2 linked regions of the Struthio camelus genome follow. The protein of the gene in region 1 binds, or shares a complex with, the protein of each later gene. Links are inferred from orthologs where the notes say so. Each region holds a gene or a part of one and is shown in the gene's direction. Other genes may lie near its edges.

The links.
Region 2: the proteins of LRP6 (region 1) and SOST are in contact, whole or in part, in a crystal structure (PDB 6L6R), measured with the Homo sapiens proteins. The link is inferred for Struthio camelus from reciprocal best matches to the Homo sapiens genes LRP6 and SOST. Residues at the interface, in NP_001401174.1 of Homo sapiens: Arg28, Asp52, Val70, Ser71, Glu73, Leu95, Ser96, Asp98, Glu115, Arg141, Trp157, Trp183, Asn185, Ala201, His226, Phe228, Trp242, Met269, Arg336, His361, Asp379, His404, Asp406, Thr422, Glu447, Arg449, Trp465, Trp491, Asn493, His534; in NP_079513.1 of Homo sapiens: Leu115, Pro116, Asn117, Ala118, Ile119, Gly120, Arg121, Arg169, Thr171, Arg172, His174, Asn175, Gln176, Ser177.

Annotation. Positions count from the first base shown.
Region 1 is NC_090942.1:81,179,922-81,192,849, reverse strand, and holds the start of LRP6 (low-density lipoprotein receptor-related protein 6), read left to right. Parts: upstream 1-6,986; 5' UTR 6,987-7,232; coding exon 7,233-7,287; intron 7,288-12,928. UniProt on the Homo sapiens protein: Component of the Wnt-Fzd-LRP5-LRP6 complex that triggers beta-catenin signaling through inducing aggregation of receptor-ligand complexes into ribosome-sized signalosomes.
Region 2 is NC_090966.1:8,175,754-8,187,666, reverse strand, and holds the start of SOST (sclerostin), read left to right. Parts: upstream 1-5,938; 5' UTR 5,939-8,200; coding exon 8,201-8,423; intron 8,424-11,500; coding exon 11,501-11,913. UniProt on the Homo sapiens protein: Negative regulator of bone growth that acts through inhibition of Wnt signaling and bone formation.

The DNA of each region.
Region 1 (12,928 bases):
CTGAACTGGCATTTCTTTCTCCTCTTGAAGCTTTACTTATTAAAAAAAGTGTTTGGTGAAATTAGCATTTTATATGTATTGTTCATAGAAAAGATCTCTTAATATGCTAAGATTAAATGGGGATTTTGTTCTGCATAAGCTCTTTTCAGATCATTCTAAAGGTATTAGCGTTTTCACAACTGTAGTAAGGAAAAAATTAGTAAAAGTTGCATTAACTGCAAAGCCCTGACACCGAAAAAGGCATTGGAAGGGGCTTTAGAAGACATGGCTATTCAGACACAACTCACTGGCTTTTACGCAAAGATGCATGTGACCAAGTACTATCTTTGTGGGTTTGGTTGGGAAGGTGGGGGAAGAAGGAAGGAAGAGAAAACCATTGGATACCCTCCTTCTAATCACTTCTTTTCTTGGGAGGAGAAAACAGAATCTGTTTATTACTAAACTTAATATGATGGCTCTTTAATAATATCTTTACAGCAGGCATAACTATTGTAAGAAATATATTCAGGGGGACATCTTTCTATGTGTTTGCCTTTGTCACCTACCTACATTTAATTGCCAGCTGCACTTGAAGACTCTATCAAAGTCCACACTGTAAGGAAATTATTCAAAGAACTAACAGAGATGGAAAAACAGCAAACGAGACTTCAGCCATGGATAACAGCCTCTCCCACCCTCTCAGCACACAAAGAATGAGTCAGAGGACATAAGCCGTGGAAACCATTATACATACAGCCAGGGCAAGCCTGAGGGCCTACACTCACTCCTGCTACTAGAGGCAATGAAGTCAATGGGCGATATTTTAGCCAGTGCCAAGGGTGAATTTGCATGGGGCTTTTTGCTGCCCTGTGCCTGCATCTCAACATCTTTTGTGGAGGCACAGGTGGTTACAGTACATCGGGCACTAGTGCTGCTGCCAGCTGGTAGCAGGGCAGAGCAGAAAATATGGCACTGCGTTTCCCCTCCAAGCGCTGTGGCACCAAAGCACAGCTCGGAATGGTTCCAATAAATCAGAAATCAATGAACTATAGTAAAATTATAGGCAAAGCCAAAGCCTTTTTGTAAAAAAGGGTAGACTGTAGAATCTGCCACTGTCGATTATCTTGGGATTTCATTAGTTACACCCCACTGAAAAGTAGGCAGGACTGATTAAAACTTCTAATATCAGTATTTTGAGCAGTTGGTTTTAAGATTTTAAAAAGCTCAAAAACCAAAAAGTAGGGATTTTCTCCTCAGAGTTTGTTCCTGCAGGAGTAAACTTGAAGCGGTATCTTATTTTAAGCATTTTTATGATTCTGAATTAAACTGGGGACATATATGCGTCCTATATGTTGCTCTTCCAGGGCTTGAGACATGCTTCCCACCGTAAAACATAAAACCTATAGAACAGAGTACAGGTAAATAGTTCTGAATAGTCAAAGATGTCAAATTTTCACTGGCAAATCCCTGGCAATGTTAATATAACGAAAACCTTACTAAGAACGTATCTCCATTCTTACTTTTAATTTGCTATCTATGAAGAAATTAAAAGTGTTAAAAAAGATTTTGGTTTTCCTTGAAATATGAACTGGTCCAACATCTTGCATTTTTGTGACCTTATTTTACCAGTCCCTTAAGCAGAGGAAGGCTTCTTGACTATTAAGCCTAAAGGTTAACCATTAGAGGGCACTCTTCTCTCCTCTGAAAAAGAAGTGCACTAATAACTTATCATGCTTTTCTAGCATATTGTGAGAACTTATCTAACAGGTAAGAAAAACAAGGCCCCGAAGACTTATCACACTTGATGATCCATAGCGATTTTCTTGAGATGCTTAGTGTCTTGGCTGAATTGCAGGCTTAATTTTGTATCTTCTCCCCAGAGTTTTCTGGAGAGGGATGATCCTGTCTAAAATGCAATGCTCCCCAGGCACTGCTATAGTATTGCACATTAGCCCAGAAGTGGCCATTTCAAGTTGCAAATGAGCTCTTTCCCATGTATTGCAATATGTATGTTATATAAAGTTTGAAGAGTGCTGTATGAAAGATGCTATGTGATTGTTAATTACTGTGACACAGGGACTTACCTTTCTGCACCAAAGGCATAAATTCTAGTCAATAGTCCCCGTGACTAAAATAGTGTGAAGAGATACACGATGCTTCACCAGTAACTAATTTTTAAGCTTCAAAGGCTAGAGTGCAAATCAGAACTGGTAAATATTATGGAAGTGCATTGCAAAATGCTGAACTCCATGAAAAGGTTATGAAAAGGAAGTATTTTTAAATTGTTGTTGCTTAAAATGCACGCACGTTATGGTTAATAGAGCCCAGATGCTGCTCATTTTTGAAAATTTTAGCAAACTAAAACAAAAAAGTGTTTTGGTTCCTGTCAGCCTGAAATGCGATCTCTTTTAAAAGGATATTTTAGCTGCATCAGCCCAGCATTAAAGTACTTTACAAATTTTGGAACTGTAACTTTCTCAAATGACATTTTTATAATTCAGCTTTGAAATGTAGCCATGGCTAAATATTCATAAGGCAAGTATTGGGTTTGCCCTGTGGTCTGGTGGGCAGTGCCAAATTAAAATCAGAATCCTGCACAGTTCACACTGAAAATGCTACAGCTAAGAGGCAGTGCTGTTTTCAACTCACTAGGAGATGGAAGAGGAGAAAAGAAGTAGAAGGTAAATGGCCTGGCCTTGGATTCACCATCAGCATCAGTCCAAAAATTCCCCCAAAGGTGTAAAGAAAATGCTCAAGCCTTTGAGGTCATCTATTTCCCATTTCCCTTTGGGGATATCACCGGACTCCTGTTGGAATAGCTTGCCTGTACAGTCTGCTAGGCTCAAGCAGCTTCTCCTCTGTGAAGTTTTTGTTGTAAGGAATTTTTTAGCCATTTTAAGAAATGCACAGTTCTCACCCTGAGCACCAGGCAACATCTTCTGGTAGAGAAGATGAGAAAAAAAGAATGGATATTATACTTACACAGGGGAAAAATAAGATAGTAATGAAGAACAAGGAGAGGAGGCAACTATATGTGGTACAAGGGGACTTCATAGGATATTTGACGGGAAAATTACCACAGAAGTAGTGGGAGTGATAGTGTTTGCTGTGCACTGACAGGCTCTGGAGAACCCCTGCAAATAACTGCAAAGACAAATGAGGTCTCAGGGCCTGGAGAAAACTTCTGGAATACAGCAATGACTATTAGGCCAAGGAAACATGTTGGTAAGCTGCCTATCTCCTGTTGAAAAAGTATGTTTCATATAGTATGACAGTAAAAGTGGGGGACAAAATGCCTCTGCTTATGATTGAACTTCAATAAGGAGTAAATAAACTGATAATCTGTTCCTTAAAGGGAGGACACTGGTGAGCCCATTGCACTCTTGGAGCAGGATAATCCTTGTCAAGCACCTTTAGCATTAAATGATGCTTAAGTTACTTAGAGCTGACCTCCTTTGGGGGAAGTGTTGGATGAAGGATTTTTGTTTATAAATTGCAACTGTACGACCTAGGCAAAGTGGCATGGTAATGATGCTGGAAGTTAGGGTCTCCCATTTATCTGCTAAACGGTTGTAACGCAGAAATCACTGGTGAAGTCATCACTGTGCCATGTCCCATTCCCTAAAATATAGTGCTCCAGACTTTCCTACTGGGGGCAAGAGAGGACTTGAGCTTGAGTTTCAGTATGAAATCTTGGCCCTTTTGAAGTTGGTGAGAGTTTTGCCATGGACTTCAGGGGAACCAGGATTTCACCATGCCATGGCCCATTAATTCTCATCGAGACATTCAGTGAGGGAGCTAATTATGATAGTGGTTTCTGTGATGTGGTCAGCCCAAATTCGTTTGCTGAGTAGCCATCTTCTACCAACAGCTTTTGCTCATTAGGGACTTCAGTCCTGGTCCTACAAAGTCCCATTGCCTTCACTGGAACTCGGGGCATAGCTCAAAGATGTGGTGACTTGGGCAGTCGCTGCTGGTTGAAGGAGCTCCATCTGCTACTCCTTGCTGTCCTGTGTGCTGACACAACTGCTTGTCAGGCTGCACTAGGAACCTGGCCAAGGAACTAATCTGAGTATAAAACACCCCTGCAAAAGCTCTTGTATCATTGAATCACTCTCTGAGGCTGGAGGTAAGGGTATGCCTGTGTAGCAGATTACTTAGATGGTGATTCAAAGGCTTTAGTAGCTAAGTCTTGAGGTAAAGGACACCTGTGCAGATTTCCTAGCTGTTGAAGCCTCTGACTGAATTTGAACAGGCAAATGGTGATTTCTGTTTTTAAGAGAAACAAAAATAATAGTAATCAACAAGAGGAGACTCTTTCTAAAATAAAACAGACAATCCCTCTCCACTCCCACTTGCTTTATTCTGATTTCAAGCTCAAATAATGGAACATAATAAATATTTGAGAAATCTTATCTGTCAGGGGCCTTTCTGAAGCAGGTAATCTTGCCTCCTATTTTACTTTGTAAAAACCTCTGCAATGGAGTTTATTCTATGAATGAATTACAAGTAAAGCTGACAAACTGTAGTATATCGGCTTGATCTTGAATCCTAAATATAGATGGGAAAACGGGTTCAAAAAAGGCTACCTACACTTGAGTAGAGGTAGAAGGATTTGACCCTACAAAGGCTGTGGGAAATAGGGGATAGGCTGAGGTAGGGGAAGCCAAAAATCATTAAATAACTTAGAAGAATGGACTATCATTAAATGACTATCAGGAAAGGAAAGGGCTTGAATTACAGCAAAATGGTGAAATGCATATATGGGAGGGGTGGGAGCATATGAACACTAAAAATAAAACCAGTCAGCTTGGACAGCAGGGAAGATGTCTTTAGCAGTGACAGCAAACAGGCGGGGAATCAGGCTCCCAAGGGAGATAGTCAAGACACCAGAGTGCTTCCAGCAAAAATAGATAAGATGCTAGTGGGAATAGCATGTAGAGAAATATGTTGCATGAGGAACGTTATGACTGTATAGCGTAAGCTAAAAAAAATCACCCAACCCTCTTTTTTTATCTGATTCCAATTAAACAGAGCAAGCAGAACACTGTACTCCCTCTGCCTGTTTCTGCAACATCTAGTTGTGACAAGGGTAAGATGAGGGTTATCTACTGTCTGGGTACATTTTTGTGTGGGAAGCCTTTACCCTCAACCATCTATGCAGCTCTCGTTGGAGTTTGCTCATGCTCCCAGCTGACATTGTCGTAACGCAGGAGGATACTTCACCCAGCAGAGTCAAGGACAACATTTTGTAAGGCAGACCTGGCCTCAGGCAGGTATTGCTCTTGAGTTGCATTGTTTACAGTTTCAAGATCTTTTTTGCAACCTTGAAGGCTGGAAATGTATTTCTTTTTGTAGATGGTTTTAACTGTTATTCTTTTCCAGTAAAAGTTCAGAGTCTGGTATTATCACGACTCCAGGAGCTACAGCCTGATGCTAGAGTCAATCTGCAGTGCCCAGACCTTTAATGTGACCCAGATGTTATCTCCTACTGTAATCATAAGAAAAGCTATGAAAAAGTATGTTCAACAGATATGAAATTAAAAGTTAAATGTTTCCATAAGTTTCTAATAACTCTAAAATAATACAGGCTTTCGAATGTAAGGATTTCAAATTTTGCTTCAAGTTGTTCTGCTTCATAGCTTTCCGCTAGTGAACAGCTCTCGTATTCTGTGAGAGAGAAAGTGGCACGTACATCAACAGTCCCTGTAGAAGTCCTCATGTAGAGTTTGTAAACTGGAGAAAACACAAGAAAGTTGGATTTTGTAGTGCTTAGGAAAAAAGAACAGACTAGGTAAGGAGGGAAGCGTTTTAAAGCAAGGGCATGTTAGAAGATCACAAACTTTTTTTCCAGGAAAAAGGCTGTTTAAGCGGATATAGCTTGTGAAAAGAGCAAGTTATGCCTAAGCACGGCACATTAGCTACTCTTTGGCATTCATTTGCTGTTTCTAACTACTGCTCAGAGTAGTAGTTTGTGCCATTTAGTTTAGTAAGGGGAGGGGGGGGGAAACCAGAATCCCCCTAAAAGTGCCGCGAAATAAATCACATGCCACGACATCAATCAAGCAGCAAGGTCCTATTGATAAAGGAATGCATCTCAGCGCTGCCCTGGGCCAGATCAAGGTTATCAGTCCCCACACAAGGGGGCATGCATTGTAACTGCATTTCGCCAGGAGCGCTTGGTCTTTTTTTTTTTCCTTCTTCTTCCCTTTCTCCGCCTGCTACTGTACTATGAAGCGGCTCGGCCCGGTGCCGGGTGCCCCTGCCTCCCGAAGCCGAGCACGAGCAGGCCGGCGGGAAGCTCAGGGACGCGGCCGGGCACCGCGCAGGCCGACAGCGCCGCCGCGGGGGCTGCGTCGCCATTTGGGCCGGGGGAGCGGCCAGGTACGGCCCGGCCCGGCCCGGCCCGGCTCGCTGCCCAGGGGCAGCGCGCAGGCCCGGCTCCACAACCTCACCCGGCAGGCGCCGCAGCGGGCCCGCGGCCCGACCTCGGAGGACGCGGCCGGGGCTCTGGGCCGGCCAGCCCGGCGATGCCCGCCTTCACCTGGAGGCGGAGGAGGAGCCGCAGGGCCGCGGAGGGACCCTTTGTCCTGCCGCCGCTCCGCGCCTGAAAGTAGTCCCGTCCCTCCCAGGGCTGATGTTGTTCCGAGCGCCGTATCGCACCTTCCTCCCCCCCGCCCCCCCCCAAAAAAAAAAAAAAAAAAAAGAAGAAAAAGGCAAAAAGCAGCGGCGGAGGGAAAGGAAATAGTGCGGGGGGACTGCGCAGCGGCGGCCGGGGGCAGCGCCGGGGGAGGCGCGCGAGCGGGGGCGGGGCGGCCGTGGGGCGGCCGTTGGGCGGCGTGGGGGAGGCCGGTATCCCTGCGCCTGTGCGCGGCGGGCGGGGGCGGGGCCGGGCCGGGCCGGGGCGAGCGGCGGGGCTGCATGGGGGAGCGGCGGCGGCGGCGTTGGCAGTGAGGCGGCGGCGGCCGGGCCGGGCCGGGCCGGGCCGGGCCGGCGTGGAGGGAAGCGGCCGCTGCCGTGGCGGCGCGGCGGGGGAGGCGGCCTGCTAGGCGGCGGCGAAGGGCGATTTGCGCGGTTGCCCTTCTCTGCTCCTCTCCTTTTCCACCTTCTCCTCCTCCTCCTTCTCCTCCTCCTCCTCCCCGCCGCCTGCCCGAAAGTATGAACTGGCAGCGGCGGGGCTGCTCCTCTCCTCCCCCTGCTCCGCCGCCGCCGCCTCCCCGCCGCCGCCGCCGGTGAGAGGGGAGCGAGGGAAGATGGGGGCCGTCCTGCGCAGCCTACTCGCCTGCAGTTTTTGTTCCCTGATGAGAGGTGAGCGGGGCAGCGGGGGGGGGGGGGGGGAAGGGGCGGGCAGGAAAAGTTGACGGGGTTGTTGCGAGGGGCCATGTTGTGTGAATCCAGTCAGGGAAGGCCCCGGTGGCCGGGTCGGGTCGGGCTCCCCGCCCCGCCGCCCCCCCGGCCTGCCCTGCCCGGCCCTGCCGTGCCCCCGCCGCGGTCACCTCGCGGGCAGCCCTCTGGGCGCTCGGCAGGCAGCGCACGGTAGTGGTGGTGGTTATTGTTGTTGGTGGGTTTTTTTGTTTAAGTTTGCCCCCCCACCCCACCGCACCCCGAGCTGGTCGCGCCTCGCCTGTCTGTCCGCTGCGGATGGACAGCGGAGCAGCCCCGGTGAGGCGACCACCAAAACGTCACGCCAGTATTGCTATTACAGTCATCACGTTCCTCTCCTCTCCTCCCCCCTATCCGCGAAAGAAAGCGTTTTCTATTTTTCTTTTTTTTTTCTCCCCCCCCCCCCTCCCCCGCGGGAGGAGAAGTGGGGAGCCCTACACACTCAGCGAGAGAAGGCGAAAGTCTGTTAAAACTAGTATTTCACTGACATTTTCCACACACCCGAAGTAAGTGCAGTATGCAGTTGGCAGGAGGAGTAATGCTCCTCTCCGCTCTGCTGGGGCTGTTTTGGGACTTGAGAGAAGTTTGTGTTTCTGTGGTGGGTTGTGATGAATGCTAATATAGCCTTAAATAAGCATTCCAGTGCGCTACAAACGGATATCACTTAAAATACTTGATATAATTTTTATACCCCTTCCCATCTCTCAACATGACTTCACATATACTTCACGGCAACATCCATTTCTCTGTGTTTGCTTTTCCTGGGGAGAAAGCAGCTGTGATGTTTGCATCCATCGTTTTGTTATTTGTTTGTATTTTTTTCATACTACATGGGAGAGAAGATTAATTGCTGATATTTAAAGAAATCAGCCACACTTTGATTTAGAAAATTAGTCTATTGCCACCATCATTTTGTTTTGAAAGCTGGAGTGAAGGTGGTTTGGGTTGAAGGAGATGCTTGGTAGCCAGTTACTTAGTACTCTAGAAAAGGAAAAATTTCTTCTTCCTCCTACCTTTTTTTTCTGTGCATCTGTTTGCCATATTGTATCCTGTTTGCAAAGATACAAGTATATTTATTTAAATAGGCTATGTAACATTTTGTGGTCCTCTTGCAGCAGTGAAATCCAATTTTCAAAAAGTTCAGTTGGATATGAAGCATAGAGAAGAACTGTTTTCCAATTGGTTCATTTTGTTATGTAACGGCCGTACCTGTTCTTAATGAAACATTTATCTGGCTCTAACTTGCTGTTTAACCTAGTTTGAATGACAGCTCAAAAAAATCACTGTCATACGTAATGTCACACAATAGTAATCACTTATTGTCACTTCTTCAAATTAATATCCAAATAATTACATGTCCTTTTGCGAATGTTCATTTACTTGATGATGCTTAATAAGGAACTTTGAAAAAACACAGTAAACTGTTTGGACTGTCTCTTTTTTTCCCCCTTCTCTCATCTTTGTCGATTGCCAAGGACTTTTGTATCAAAATTGTGTCTTTGTTTCTTCAGAGTTCATGTGCTCCTGCTGCTTGATCACCTACCTGAAGTCTCCATCTTCTATTTGTAACAAGATATTAATTTTCCTACTGGCTAGTTGTTACCTTAGGTAGATATAAACAGCAGGAACAGCTGAACTCAGAAGAAACAGAAATCAAATTTTAATGCATGCATCCTCCCTAACAAACAACATCTCTGCAAGTAGAATTGGTTTGAATAAGATATGTTTGGCTCATAAGAGGTGTCAGCAGTTCCTTAATGAGGCAGAGGCAGTGCCAGCGTGAGTATGAATAAGTATATACATGAAAGTAGCAGTTCTGAAGGTCACTGTTTGGTTTGTAAATTTAGTGCTGTGAAAGGTGCCAAGCCAAAGTATTGGAGACTGAAACCCAGAAAATCTAATAGCATGTATTTGTGGATTGCAGAATCCTCTCCGCTTAGAGAAGTAGCCTCCCTTTTGCCGCTGACTTAGAAAAAGCAAATGGGCAGAGGTTTACGATAGCTACGATCGCTAGGGAAAGGAAATGATGATAGATACGTTTACCAGTGTGGAAAGGATTGAAATTGATAACCTGGAAGTGCAGTGTCCTGTGAGCTTATAGCTTTGGAGAAGTACCAGGCAGTTGCTAGCTAGAGACAGGTGCACAGTACAAGACACCTCTCTACCAAAGTAGTCCAAGGACTGTGATGAGCCAGATTCTGTAGCTGTTTTCAGGGCAGATATTTTGATTTGTAAGGGCCAGGAGGTTAACATCACTACAGCCTGCTATGGAGGCTTTGTAATTTCTTTCATATTCTCTTTGATGGAAGAAAGGGGTCACTTCTCTGAAACTGCCAGACCATCATCACAGTCTGACATCTCTACTCCTCTTACTCCTCTCTTGGCTCCTGGTCTGATGTTGGGGATTGAGCTTTCCTCCTCTCTGAACGTGAGCAGTGTTCAGGGAGCAGCTCCAAGCAAGGCTTGGAGGACTGAGCTTGACCTGCTTCGTGGCAAGTTTGCTGTGCTCTTCATTGCAGCTGTGAATCCAGTCAGGATCTTGTTAGGTAATTGACAACTGCAAAGAGGCAAAAGCTGTAGCATCGGATCAGTTCTAAAACTTTGTAAGTGGGGAAACTGAGATTTCACTCTTTTTAATATCAAGCATTCATGGCTTACCTTTCTTCCAGAAAGAACTTTCCAGTCAGCATGCGGTTACTGTTTTGTTTTGCTTTTAAATGCTGAGCATGCAAAGAGTGCATAAAGCTGTTGTTTGAATAGGAATCTTATAAATGATGTTTGTGCAAATGTACTGAATGTTGCAGATCTCGATGCATAAGGTCAGTTAGTGAAGAAATGAAAATGCCCATTTGGTAATGGGCATTTTAAACGCTCTTACTTCCCCCTTATGTGCTCAGAAGAGAATTTGCTTTAATTTGTTGTTTATAGTAACTTCCTTTCGATAAACAGAACATCTTTGCTTTTTGTATCTTTTTAGATAAAGAGTGGTTTGTATGTGGCTTAGAAGAGCTTAATGTTCAAGACTTGCTAAGCTGTAAGTGATTGGAGGTGTTTGCATGTGTTTTTCTGCCAGAAGTCAGAGAAGGGGACAAGGAATACGCTTTTTACTTCTGAAGCAGTCAAGTTGGAGATGAAGCATGGAAGAATTCGAGCTGGAGCTACATTTTTAAGTTAAGGGTCTCTTGACCTGTGACTATACAAAACTAATGTATTGACAATGAGACCTGGAAATATCCTTTTTGTAGTCATCATGGTGTATTTCTCCACCCAAGCTTGAATCAACCATATTCTATTCATATTTTTTCAGTGTATGATTCCTTAGAAATCAGTGTGACTTTTGTCTACTGTAATTTCTAATTCGTTTTACTCTTTTGTCTCTCCATAGAATTATCTAAAATTAGCGTGATCTAAGGTGTTTTAAAAACTCCACCATTACCTTAATAGTTTTTGCAATTGTGCCTCTGATATATTTCACTGTCATCAGACTGCTTCAGCAATATATATATTTTTTTTCCCCCCCAAAAATTAGGAATGTCAGAAAGCTTGGTAGTGTGTTTGGTATGTCTGGGATGTGAGGTGAAGTAGCCTTTATGGAAAGGTATGCTGAAGATATGAGGAAGCTGCGGGTATATGGATGAAGCTGCAGATACCTAATCACAGGTGTACGAAAATGGTGGGCTCCTTGTATCCTTCATTAGGAGTTTTCTAAAGTTATTCAGCCGAAAAGCTTCTTATATTCATGATGTTTTACAGAAATACTGCTTAAAGGGGTGTTAATCATACACCCTTTTTGTATGATTACACATTTTTCCCTTGTGAACTGATTACCATCTGCATTCTCTGAGTTACAGATAACATGGGGATTTGGCTGGAATTTTTAGGATGAGTAAACAAGAGGGTTTTTGCAGGAAGACAGGTCAGGAGCTAGGGCATAGGAGCCTTTTAAATTGTCTGTCTTTGGGGCCTGGAGAAATCTGATTCCTTTGGACATCTGTAATCTACCTTTATGATGTCACATCTCAAAAATGCTGGTTTCAAAATATCTGCTGTACTGCATACAATATGGGATTTACTTTTTAGTTTGAAATCAAGTAGAGTACAAATATATATATATATATATTTTTTTCTTCTGAGGGAGTAGGGTAGGGGAAGAAAACGGGGAGAAACAGCTCTCATCTTCTGATGTCACTGTTCATCTCCTCTGGCAGCCAATCTTCAGACTTAAACGCTAGGCATATTTGACCTCATTAATTTCCTGGGAAATGCTAGCTACTTAGGTTGCTTTGCTGGTGGCTTCATCAAGAGTCCACTTCCCTGTAGTACAGGGAGGGTATGTGTCATTGTTGAAAGGCACCAGAAATGTTTCTAAAGCTTTCTTGTACACTGCTGCTTGCAGCTAAGCCAGCTGCTGAGTCCTACCACTGTACCTGGGAGTGCTCCTCGCTCCTCCTGGGAAGCCCTTGCTCTTCAGCTGGCTCACCAGAGAGAGACTTGGTTCCTAAACTACTGGAGGCTGGCTGTATTCTTTGCTGCCACTTCTTTGATGACACATGAAGGGCCGTTTGTATTTTGAAAGCAATAGTTACTGGTGAAGAATAATTTATGTTGGTAAGTAATTTCCCAAATAGACTTTTACTGGTGAATAACATAAATTGCTTAGAAAGACATGGGGGGGGTGTAGCTGTTTTCCAAACTTCAAGAATGTTGTTTGTTCATATTCATTTAAAGCAATTGGCATTGTTCACTTACAGTTCAGCCATTGAAAGGCTATGGCTCTTGGAGTACGATCGCTGGTGTGTGTGGACATGATGCGTGGGATGAGCATGCAGTGACTACTTACAATTCTTCTGAGTTGAACACTTTGTAGTGAAGGCCCTACTAGAGGGTAGTTGCAGTGACCGTCTTTGTTAGCCGAAAGGAACTCACTCTCCTCTAATAGCAACCTTTATTTATACAACCTATGCCTCACTTGTGTAGTTTGACCAGAGTTACAGAATATACACCACTGGAAACAAAAAAGCTGCATGATTCTTTTGAAGAACAATTGTCCAAGGGTTGGAAAGAGAGGGCATTGCATCTTTAATGGATTTTACATTAATGCTGGTTATTGACACCCTAAATGTTAAATAACTTTTACCTATTTAGATTTGGCAGACAGATTAACACGCTTGGAGAGCCTTCGTTTAGCTGTCCATATATTCTTGTATTTATAAATATTTATGGAAGGAGGTTCACAGTTTGCTCCACATGAGTAGAATTTGATTTGGCTACAGTGGTGGTGTTTGCAAGTAGAAATTAGTTTGTCATAATTGTTACTCCTTTCCATTGTGTTCTCCTGCGTTCTGGTTATGAAAATGTGTTTGGTTCCCTCCTCCCCCCCGCTCTCCTTGTGATTATCTGGCTATAGACCTTTCTATTTCAATTCAATTGGCACAGTCCCTCACTAGCTTTGAAAGGTAGTCAAACTTACCAATTTATGCATAGAATGTTAATACTGTAATATCTTCTATTTGATTAATGGTATGCTTTTAAGAACATACTATTCAAAGTGTAGGTTAAAAAGCTG
Region 2 (11,913 bases), on another chromosome or scaffold:
GTCCAATAAACGACTAAACAAACTATTTGGTATTAGATTTTTTTTTACTATCCCAAAGAGTATAAAAATGCTAGTAGCTGTCAGATTAAAAAGCAAATGTTTTGTTAGAATGTGATAAAATGCGTTAAAATGGTGATGCTTTTGTACAGTTCTACAGGTCGACAACTGTCTAAAAATAGAGATAAATCAAGAAATACAAGAAAAGGTTCATGTGTTCCAGGTGTTTTTTTTTTTTTTTTTTTTGATTCATAGGACACTGCTCCATTCTAGTGGTAACTTCAGGGATACTCTGGCCAATTTATCTCAATACAACAAAACTTAATTAACAAACGTGTTGTAATATGCGGGGGAGAAGACTAAGAAAGACGCTCATAAATTAATTAAACTGAGCTCTGAGACAGCATATCCTAGTCTGAGTTACTGATAGGTGACTCTCAACCATTTCTAACTTTGCCTTTAGAACAGGCTAAAAATAGTTAGGCTGTCACACCACTGCTCCATTAATGGATTGTACACTGCTCTTTTATCTTTCTGTTTAAGTACTAGAACGCTGCAAATTCTTCTGCCTATCTTAGTGGACCAAGAAGAGCTTATATTCCTCTAATCCATAATCATATGCCATGTGCATCTGTGTGTCTCTTTCTGACTGTGGAAGGCAAGATTGTGTAGAAAGAGGAATGAGACCTTTCTACCATTATAATGTGACATTGACAGAATATCAGAAGAAGTATGCCTTTTTGTTTATGAAGTTACCATGTAGCTGCCTGTTGAGATAAGGTGTTCCTTACAAGCATGCTAGCTGGAGAAGGTATTTTAAAAAACAAATAAGCAAGCAGAAACATAACATTTTTGGTGTTTAAAAATCTTTTGATGATAGCTAAAATAGGGTAGTCTGGATTTATATGAATATGTTTATCCTGAATAGCAGCATGGTAGTTTTTGTGTAGACAAGAGCTTTGGAGAAGGGATGGGATCTCTGTAGAATATGCATCTGTCACAGAACAAGGATATCCAGCCTGTCAAATCCCGGGGGGGGGGGGGGGGGAGGGAAGATGTGGGGAAGGAACTACTAGCATTTTGTAACACGGAGCAAAGATGAAAGTCTGGTTAGATAATAATTCCTCTAAAATGATCATATATGTACAAATAAATTGACCTTGTTATCTCATGCTGAACCAAATCTCACCCGTTATATAAGCACAGAGGAGGAGTTTCTATCTTAAAATTAAGATTCAAAGCAAAAATGACATTTTCGGAGCGCTTTCTGTCCTCATCCTTTTGCCATGCAGCTAAGACTACACTGTTGACAACAACAGTGTTGTATCTAGCATGCTACTCTGAACCAAAGGTACCGCCAGAAAATACTTCACAGAAGGATGTTGCAATAGAGCACTGCTGACAAGTGAGCATTTTGCAAAGCTATTTCAAAATTAGACTAACAGCATATGAATGCAAGGCTAGCAGCCAGTATAAACCATACTGTAATTCCATTTGGGGATGTTGAGCACGTGTCAGTATTGGACATGTTTTTCTCCTGCAACATGAGTTCACTTCTCTCTCTTGGTCTTGTGAGAATTAATTAAACTTCATAAAAGGCTTTGCAGATGAAAAGCACGGTATATAATAACACTACACGCTCTTTGACTTGAAAGACAAGCTTATGTCAGGTATATGTTCCTCATGCCGAGGGGAAAAAGAAAAAAAAAAAAGAACCATGGCAGTAGATGTGATATTTGCAATGTTTACTTTCATCATTTAAATATGTTCAATGAGATGTTGTCTCTTGACCAGAAATAGTTCAATCTCTTACACTTGAATTGGAAGCAGGATTTTTTTTCCCTTCTTTATTAAATCAGTTTTGCTAGTTTACTAGAAGAGTCTTAGCATAGACGGACTATCCAATGTAGTCTCATTAGTATAGCAGAGAGGTTTCTTCTAAAATTACTGTCTGGGCTCTATCAATGAATAAACTGAAAACAGAACAGACCTCAGAGGTAGCTTCCAAGGGTTTGTTATTGAGAATTCATATCCTTATGCTATGCTAGCTAACTCATGCTGTGTATGTCATTGCAACTCTGAATCCAGATGAGCAATTGTGAACCAGGCCTTTGATTTTGTTTGGGGTAATTTTCTACGGAAACTTGGGAGTTAGAAGTCTGTAATGCCCTACTGAAAATATAATTAAAATCCATAAATTATATAATAATCAAATTATTTGGCCCTGGAGATAAAAACAGTCTGTACTAACTGTCTACAGAATTTTTTTCTTATCATTCACAGTCAGTTAATAGTTCCACAGGCTTTTCACAACCCCTCTTCTTTTTCTGATGTATACTTCTTATATACGTGGAGCTGTTAAGTCTACTTTTGATTGTAAAGCACTCTCTCTGGTAGAGACTAAACTGGAAAAATATATATGCATCAACAAAAAAATAATTCTTAGTAGGAAGGTTAGCGTGGTAGTAAATAGCCGATTTAGCCCCTTTTTTCTCCTGGTACTGCTTTATTTCAAAAATTCAGATGTACCAAGTCAATATCACTCATACAGGCTTGGTACATTCTCAAGTACAAATAATCTGACTAAGCATATGGCAAATTTATTGTATGTCGATAGTGAGATCAATGACTGAAGTTACTATAGATTGGGCTTTGACTGTTACGCTGAAGAATTAACTCTTGCTTTTGTCAACCAGTTTACAAACAGTTAAATGCTACTGTATGTTAATCATACATATATGTTACTCTACTTTTTTCACAGTAAGGTTATGTACGTTTCTTGTGGAAAGCTGCTGTTGCTGACTGTTGTTATTTGTGCCATCTCGTAGCTTTGGACCTTGCATATATTTTGCCGCCATCTCAGATCATTCTTCTAGTAATCAGTGGATTTGGATTGATGTGCACAGTGCTACATTTTGGTTTATATTCTGCAGATAGATAGGCTCCTGAACCAAGCTGATCATGGAGTTGTTAATTTCACCCACTATTTTAGAAACAACTTCTTCAACACTAATTTTAGCTAAATCAACTCTCACCATTATTAATCATTCATCAGCTTAGATATCTGTTACACAGCAGTAAGACAATACAAGAGGTATGGCTAAAATCTTGTGCAATTGCAAAACCAAAAATTAAAACTGGTAGCCGAGCAACTCCCTTAGGGAGACAGTATGTCCTACAGAAAGTACCACACTAGAAAAATGATAGAGTCTTTGTCAAATACAGCAAGTAATGGGATAGGTCTGTCTTGAATTTAAATGCAGCTCTATTCTGTGAGTAAATCAAGAATGTCTGCTTATAATTTTTGAATGGGCAATGACTGACTCCAGTTCTTACCCTTTAGATAACCTCTTCCTTGGTTTATTTTGGACATAAACCCTACAAACTCAGGTTGCGTGCAGCTGAATTAAGGCTTTGTATTTTAATTCCAGTATCTCAAGGGAGCCGGCTAGCTGACTCCCACCAGATGGAGCTGTATGCTTACTATTCTTCACTAGATAGTCATAATTCCATCTCTGGGTGATGCTACTGTATGACTCTAATGTATTCTCTTGTTAGTATCAAAAAAGGTTATTCACCACAACGGTTTATCAATGCGTTTGCTCATCTCCGGTGGGAGAAAACTAAGCTTCCGTTTCTTCTTGGCTTCTTAGAGGAGTTCACAACATAGCATTCAGCCTGATATATTCAGGCGGCCACACATGGCTCAGCAGAATTCTCGTGAGAAAGATAAAAGTTACTCAGGCAAGGCTGGCTCAGCAGCATCTCGGGAAGAGAACTGTTTGAGAAGCAGGGAAGCTCTTGAGCTTGTCAAAAACGGAATTCCTGGGCAGTGTGCAAATTAAAGCCTAATTCACAGAAAAGTTTATAAACTGTGCACGTGTATCTTAGTGCTTGGATATCTAACACAACAACCCCGGCCCCAGCTATTGCGGGGGTACGTTTAGCACCAGAGATTACATTTGGCAGAACTGATTTTAGAAATTGTTTTCTATGCGTTTGCCTTCATAGTACAGTGTTGCAATTTAAGCTCAGTAGGACACAAGTCTGAGTCCAGACAGCAGCAGTAAAGGCTTCAGGCTAAGTATAGGATGCCAGTTTACTAGTTGTACCCGCTCCCACCAATACATCTGATGCTTTCTTAGCTAGACTAATGGTGTTCTTTCAGCTCAGAAAATAGTATAATAGTATCCCAGTTCTGCGGATAGTGGTCTCAAACTCGGTTCCACCCGGGGTGGGGGGGAAGAAGGAGGGTCGTTATGAAAGTGTCCTCGATGTTATAAAATCAAAAATGATTTTTGTTTTTTCCTGTGCTTCATTAACAATGTAGAATGAATTGTTCATGGGGGCTGCAGCCCAGACCACTTCTGCTTTCCTTTTTGCAGAAAATAGAGTGAATAGGCAACCAACTACAGGAAGTGAAAGTGTTTTTATAGTTAAGGAAACTGAATGCCTAACAGGATTTGGCTGCTTTTCTTGCCCCTACTAATGCTGCCCTCCTAAATTGTGCACAGGAGGTTTTAAGCCAGAGGCTAAATATAGCTTCCAATTTTGGCTTTTCTAGATTTTTTCCATGATTTCTCCCAGTCATCGATACAGGTAAGTGTTAAGACCGGTAAAAGAGGGGATTGTTTAAATACTTAGGGTGAAACTGCATGGAAGAAATCGTTTATGCTTCATCTGAAAATAATTGCTGTAAGTGTGATTCTTTGTAGTAGGCCTAACGCTGACAATGATATCATGAACCTCGAAATACTCTCTATGCAGACGTTATGTGAAAAGAAATTAACAGAAACAGAGCTTCGTTAAGTAGAGAGACACAATTCTGAAGACATTTAAACAGAGGAGCGAATAGGTGACGGTTCCTCAGAGATTACCAGTACTCAACTTTGTTCTAGTCTCCTGTTCTGCTTTTCATCTGCACTCCCATTCTGCCATGAGCTGTGACCTATCAGCTCTTCAAACACAGGTTACTTTGGAAAAGGTCACTATGCTACTGGTATTCTTGCCCTGACAAAAAGAATACTGAGTTAAGATCCTTGCTTTTAGTGCCTGGTCACCCTTCCCCACTTTTTCAGATAAAACTGAAGGAAAAAAACCCCACTATTTTTCTTGTGGGCCATTAGAGCTTCACGTTACAGTTTCACAGAATCACAGAATGGTTGAGGTTGGAAGGGACCTCTGGAGATCCTCTAGTCCAACCTCCCTGCTCAAGCAGGGTCCTCTAGAGCATATTTCCCAGGATCACGTCCAGACGGGTTTTGAGTATCTCCAGGGAAGGAGACTCCACTACCTCTCTGGGCAACCTGTGCCAGTGCTCAGGCACCCTCACAGTCAAGAAGTTTGTCCTCAGGGTCAGATGGAACTTCCTGTGGTTCAGTTTCTGCCCGTTGCCTCTTGTCCTGTTGCTGGGCACCACGGAGAAGAGGCTGGCCCCCATTCTCTCGACCACCCCCCCGCCCCGCCAGATACTTGTACACATTGAGGAGATCGCCTCTCAGTCTTCTCTTCTCCAGACTGAACAGGCCCAGCTCTCTCCGCCTTTCTTCAGAGGAGAGATGCTCCAGTCCCCTCATCCTCTTTGTAGGCCTCCGCTGGACTCTCTCCAGTAGTGCCGTGCCTCTCTTGTACTGGGGAGCCCAGAACTGGACACAGGACTCCAGGTGAAGCCTCACCAGGGCTGAGTAGAGGGGCAGGATCACCTCCCTCCACCTGCTGGCAACACTCTTCCTAATGCACCCCAGGATTCTTTTCTGAATAAAAGAATAATAGCTATATTATAAGGGCTGAAAGCAGAGCTTAAGAGATCTTCATACACAATTTCAAATATAATTTGATCATGATCATCTAACCTGTTTTTACAAAAAGAATCCTCCAAGGAAGATGAATCCACAGCTTTCGAAGCAGGCATCTGTCCTTTCTTCAGAATCCTTTTTATTTGGTGGGCAATACCTTGAATGGAAAATAGATTTAGTCGTAAGTGAAAAAAATTGTGCTTGGAGAAACCTTTGCAAGGGCTAAGTATTTGGGCTTCCTATATTTGTCAGACCAGCATTAATTGCTTTGGAGCGTAGACCAGCATTAATTGCTTTGGAGCGTAAGAGGAAGTTATTAATGAAAGATAATCAGCCCTGTTGCTGCTGTTTATAGGAAGAAAGGAAACAGCACATCTCCGGCAAATGATGTGGCAACATTCGTTATTAAAGAACGACATCCTGACAGACTCTGCACAAAAAAGTTTCATGTATGAAGACAACAGTGTACTGTATTCCTCTCTAGGAAAGAGAGTAACTCCTGTGGTGGTAGGATGAGGAGGATGCAGGCTGGGGGGAGACAGGGAGAGGGAAACAGTGCAAACAGTTGTATGCAACACAACGCACAATTGCTCTTAGAGCTTCTTGGGACTATTTGGAAAGAAAGGCCCCGCCAAAACGTGTTAATCTGTAATTTTGGAGAAGAAAGGGCAGGAGAGAGAGCATGTCACAGTATATTTCAGATGCTATTGTTTTAGGAACGGACCATTATACAAAATAAGTAGGCTACAGCTCATCTAACTCAGTGCCGCTATTGCATCTGCTGTGCGTCGCTGTGTGTGTGTGTGGAAGGCAGAAGAGGTGAACCGTCCTCAAGTCATCATTGCTATTGTTTGAATGTATTATTTTTTCATCTGGGTCACACCAAGGGTGAATGTGCCCCTCACTTTAAATTTGGTGACACCTGTTTTCCGTGCCAGGTCAGGGCAACTGTCAGACTGGAATGCAAGCCTTAGGTGATCAGTCCTAGGGAGCAGGGAGAAGACAGACGGCCCCAGCTGTTTGCAGTGTTCAGACAGGTAGACCAGAAGGCAGAGCACAGAGGCTGTTATTGACATTCCAGCTAATTGTTAAAAAAATGCTGGTTAAGTGATTCACTTAACATCTGTTCTACACGAAATATTTTCACAGGGATGAACTGTGTGTGACAAACATTGCAGCTATGCACAGAGGTGCTTTACTGCTTTATGCAAACATTTTGTTTTCAGTAGTTATGATGAGAGCTCACTGTAGTTTCTAATCTAACTTAAAAGGTGAGATACTTTTTGATTAATGTATTTAACCTGACATCATTTGTAAATAATGTGGAAATATCTATGGTCTTGAGGCACAGAACTTGCATGCCACTGTCCCCGCTATCACTTTATTTCTGCAAGGGAAAAGAAGAATGCCATAGATGAGATTTTAAAACATGACACATGAACACATCTTGGGCATAGATGTCCTAGGTATTAGATCAGCTCTTTTCTAATTGGTTGTACCATGATTACAAATCAGTCTGGCCCTGTTCTGTGTTTAAAGTAAGCAAATGTCCTAAAAATCAACACACACAATCTGCTGTACAAAATGTCAGCAGAAATAGTGGTATGCAATGATATTAAAGCAAATGCAAATGCAAATGCAAAAAAAAAAAGTGCAAAAGAGCACATCAGAAAGCACGGTGTGCAACAATCTGGCTGTATAGCTTTACTAACATGCTCCAAATAACCTATATTTTTAAGGAAAACTAAGTAAAACAAATTCTCATTTTGAAAAGAAGAGCTCTTCCCTGTTTCTTCTAGTCCATTTGAGAAACAAAATGCAGAGATCCTTGTTTTGTAAAGAAAACAAAAATTATAAAACCTCAATCATTTATCTGCAGGGACTGAAATGCATCACTACTGAGCTACAGTTTCTAATTGTGCTTACTTTATACTTGGGGAAAAAAAGGCACCAAAAAAAAAAGAAACCCCACACCCCACAGAAAAAAAGTTCCCAATAATGAGTCTGAAACCCCTTGAAAAAGACAATAACCAGAGTTTCAAATATGGAGATCAAAGCAGAGCTTAATTATAACACTGTTAGAAAAATTTGCAGAAAAGACTTGTCAGGCTACAGCTCATCCTAGTCTTGTCAATCACCCACCATTGTTACCAGGCAGAAAAATGAAGTATATGAGAAGCTTTTAAGCACACAGAGTATTTTTTGCTAAACCACCCCCACACACCCATTTAATTTCTGACCCATACTGACAAAAGCTTAGATGAATGAGTTGTTGTTTGGCCCTTCCCACTTTGTATAGTCATTGGCTGGCTTGGTTCTAAAAAAGATTTAAAAAAGGACAATAATTTGCCTTTGCCTGGGATCTGAGGCTGTGAGGGTGCTGCAAAGCTAATCTGGGGGCTGCCACCATGCAGATCTCTTGGGCTATGTGCTCTGTTTGTGTCTTAATCCAAATTGCATTTCGATCGGTGGAAGGGTGGCAAATGTTTAAAAATGATGCTACAGAAATCATTCCCGAGATCACTGAAAATACAGAAGCACCGATGGAGCAGACTTACAGTGACAACAACAATACAATGAACCAGGCAAAGCATGGGGGAAGACAGATACAACAGTCTCCAGACCCTAATGGTAAGAAAAATGTTGTATTACTGTTTTAGATGCTAACAGACAGTTTATGAGAGGACATTTAGTATCATCTATGGGTATTTATTAAAACCTTTTGGTATGGACCTAATGCTGTAAGTGATAGGGAATTACATCCACTGTTGAAGAAGTAGCAATGCAAACATCAGGAGGGCTATGTCAGGGTTAACTGATAAAAGAAAGGTATGGCTTATCTATTAAACAATCCTTAGGTACTACAATATGCATTCCCGTCCTGCCCAGGAGCTATGTGCAGACACAACTCCAGGACGTAAAACCTGTGGAAAAACTTGACTTTTAAACGTACAATACAAGCAGCAGTCATCAGCGGTTTAAATTTCCCTGTGTAACACGCTTGCAAGCATTGTGCGAAACAGCATGGGTCTTCTTTCTCTCTTTGAAATTAGGATGGGGCAATGGCTTGGTAATAGAGCCAGTAAGGTTTCTTAACTATTTAGGAAGAGTCATACTAGTGATGTCTTTAAGATCACACAATGAAAAGGTCACATGGAGTTTACACTGAGCTAGACCAGAGAAGCGTGCTGCTCACTGTCCTTTGCCAACAGTAGCCGGAGCTTCAGCCAGATGCCAGTAGCCAGAAAAAAGCTGTTATGCGCAAGTTAACGCACTCCCAAGGGGAATTTATGCCCAAATGAATTGGCGGGGACTCTCACTATCCTGCAGAGCTGTGCAATCCTGGGAGCGGTTTGACTACTTTGACACAACTGACGTACTTCCTAATGCGATATCACTGTATTTAGCCAAATGTCTGACATCAACAATGACGCAAAACAACTTTGTGAGGAGAGACAGGAAGTGAGGAGCTAGCACCAGCAGTTTGAAAGGAGGACTTCTGCTGGCAAATAAGCCAAACTTCATTCTTTCAGACTGCTGTGTTTGGTTGCCAAACACACATAGCAACAAGTCAAACTTGGTTTCCACTATTGGGCATTTCACATCTGAGCTACACTTCTTCTTCTGTGGACAACTGGAAGGGAATTGTGTCCTGCTGCTGCAGCTGTCAGTTAGGGGTTGAAAGCCACAGCATTAGCAGTATTTTAAAAGAATAGAGAAAGAAAGAATAGTATTTTTTTCTTTGTTAAAAGAAACAAAACAAAACAAAAAAAAAGAAGTCATGTTTTTTAAGCGTACCATATCATAAGGGTCTTAAATATGTAGGAGTGAGCTCTCTGCTTCTCACAGGCATCGCCAGCAACCACCAGATCAAAATGGGCTGATTTTGTAGCTACGTCTGAATACCTTGGTTTTCTAGCCTCTATCTACTTTGGCATCATTTGCAGTGGGGAACGGAATCTGGCCCACTGAAACGTGCCTATTTTTTTTGAGGTGGAAAGGACGTTTATTTAAGAAAGTGAGCGAGAGAAAAGGGGATTGGATAGTCATTCAAGATATGCAATGGTCTCATATACTTATTTTAACATCTTTAACACAAGGAATCAAAACTATAGTCCAAAAGCTGCCAGACCTTCCTGGGACACATGAAGTTGCCCAAGACCATGAAATAATTTTGCAGTATGTGGAACCTGTACACATACAGGACAGGACATGTGTGTGCAGAAAAAAAATCTATATGGCTGAGGCAAAGGGCCATATAGCCACCCATATCTGCCTATGTACTGCAATGGTCCAGAACATCTGATTCAGACTGTTATTTTCTACCTAGAAAGAAGTAATTTTCCTAACGCTTAGGTAATTCAGGAGGATCAGACTAAGCCTACGTGGAGTTCAGTTGCCAGCATTTTCATCACAGCTTTGTGACAAAGCTCAACAGATTTGGCTAATGCAGTCCATAAAACTTTTAAAACATGAAGTCCTGAAAGCTGTATTTAGATACATATAAATCCAACCACTAAAAATCATGGTTCCACACTTCACGGAAAAGAACAAATTAAAAAATGAAAAAGTATGTATAAATATAGTTCTATCGCTAATGACTCAGGGTCAGAATTCTCTTTTGGTGTACGAAGGAGGGAAACATTTTGTACACAGCAAAGGTAATGGGGCTAACAGACACAGCATTCTCTTTGTAAGTTGACCTCTGATGATTTCCATCACAAGTTAACCTGAGTTATCCTTTTGATTAAGAGAAGAGCACTAGCATGCAGTTACCTAGATGAAGTTCATTGATAAACGCCTTAAAAAAAAAAAAAAAATCAGTCTTTATGTCTTCCAAGCATGCTGATAAGCAAAGCGTTCTGCTTGGCAAAAGGGGCCCCCCCTCCCTCCCCCCTCGGCAGTTGCCCCCTCCCCCCCTTCCAACCCATGAAAAGAAATCCATCCAAACATCCATTATTCAAGGAAAAGGTCTATGCCTACAAGCAGAAAGTTCTTCTCAATTCTTAACGCCAGAAAGCTTGTATTTTCTAATGCTTCCTTTGCCTATTGCTGTCCATTAAGAAAAAAGGGGGGGGGGAGGGGACACAGTTAAGGTTTCTAATCAGCCAGAAGACACCTCTAGTTGTCTGAAAAAAAATGATGTTGGACTTGTGGGATTATCACAAAGAGCAGTAAGCTTGGAAAGTCTAATGCCTGAAGCACAGGAATTCCTTAGCACTGTAGTAATCTGCTAATATCCCTAACCTGGAACACAGGTTATGCTAGTTATAAATCACTTAAGAGACACTTTCCTTGTTGCTAGAGTCAACTTCTGAAGTCGATAGATTTCAACCAGAGTAAATGGAGAAAGGTTTTGCCTACAGGTGGATGAAGCCAGCAGAATCATTATCTGAATTCCCCCAAGTACCTGCTGCTGTTGGGGCTGTTGGTCAGCAGCTCCACTGCCCACCGGCACAATCCTGTCATGGGATTTACCTAGTGGCAAGAGAAGGATTTTATTCAGCAATCTGTACATGACAATTCAAGGGTCTTATAGCTAGAACGGCCAAAAACTCAGAAGCTACAAGAGTAGGGCTTTGCAGGTACTCCTTCCAAAATCTGTCATTCAAGCTCAGCGCTAGATACCTGCTGTGGAAACAAAAAAGTTGCTTTTGCAAGGATGATGAAAAAAAGTACTCAGGAATTAATGTGTTTCTTGTTTGCAGATGCTTCCGACTTTAGCTGCAGAGAAATGCGAACCACCCACTATGTCACTGAGGGGCCTTGCCGCAGCGTCAAGCCTGTCAAGGAACTGGTCTGCTCTGGCCAGTGTGTCCCCTCACACCTCCTTCCCAACTCTATTGGTAGAGGGAAGTGGTGGCGCCAGAACGCCCTGGATTACCGCTGCATCCCTGCTCACACTCGCACGCAGCGCATCCAGATGACATGTCCTGAGCAAGAGACTCGGACTTACAAATTCCGAGCTGTCACCGCCTGCAAATGCAAGCGCTACACTCGCTACCACAACCAGTCTGAGCTCAAGGACTTTGGGAAGGAAACTGTCAGGCCTCAGAAGAACAAGAAGCCCCGTCTCTCCAGAGCCAGGAGCAGCAAATCCAACCAGCCTGAGCTAGAAAAT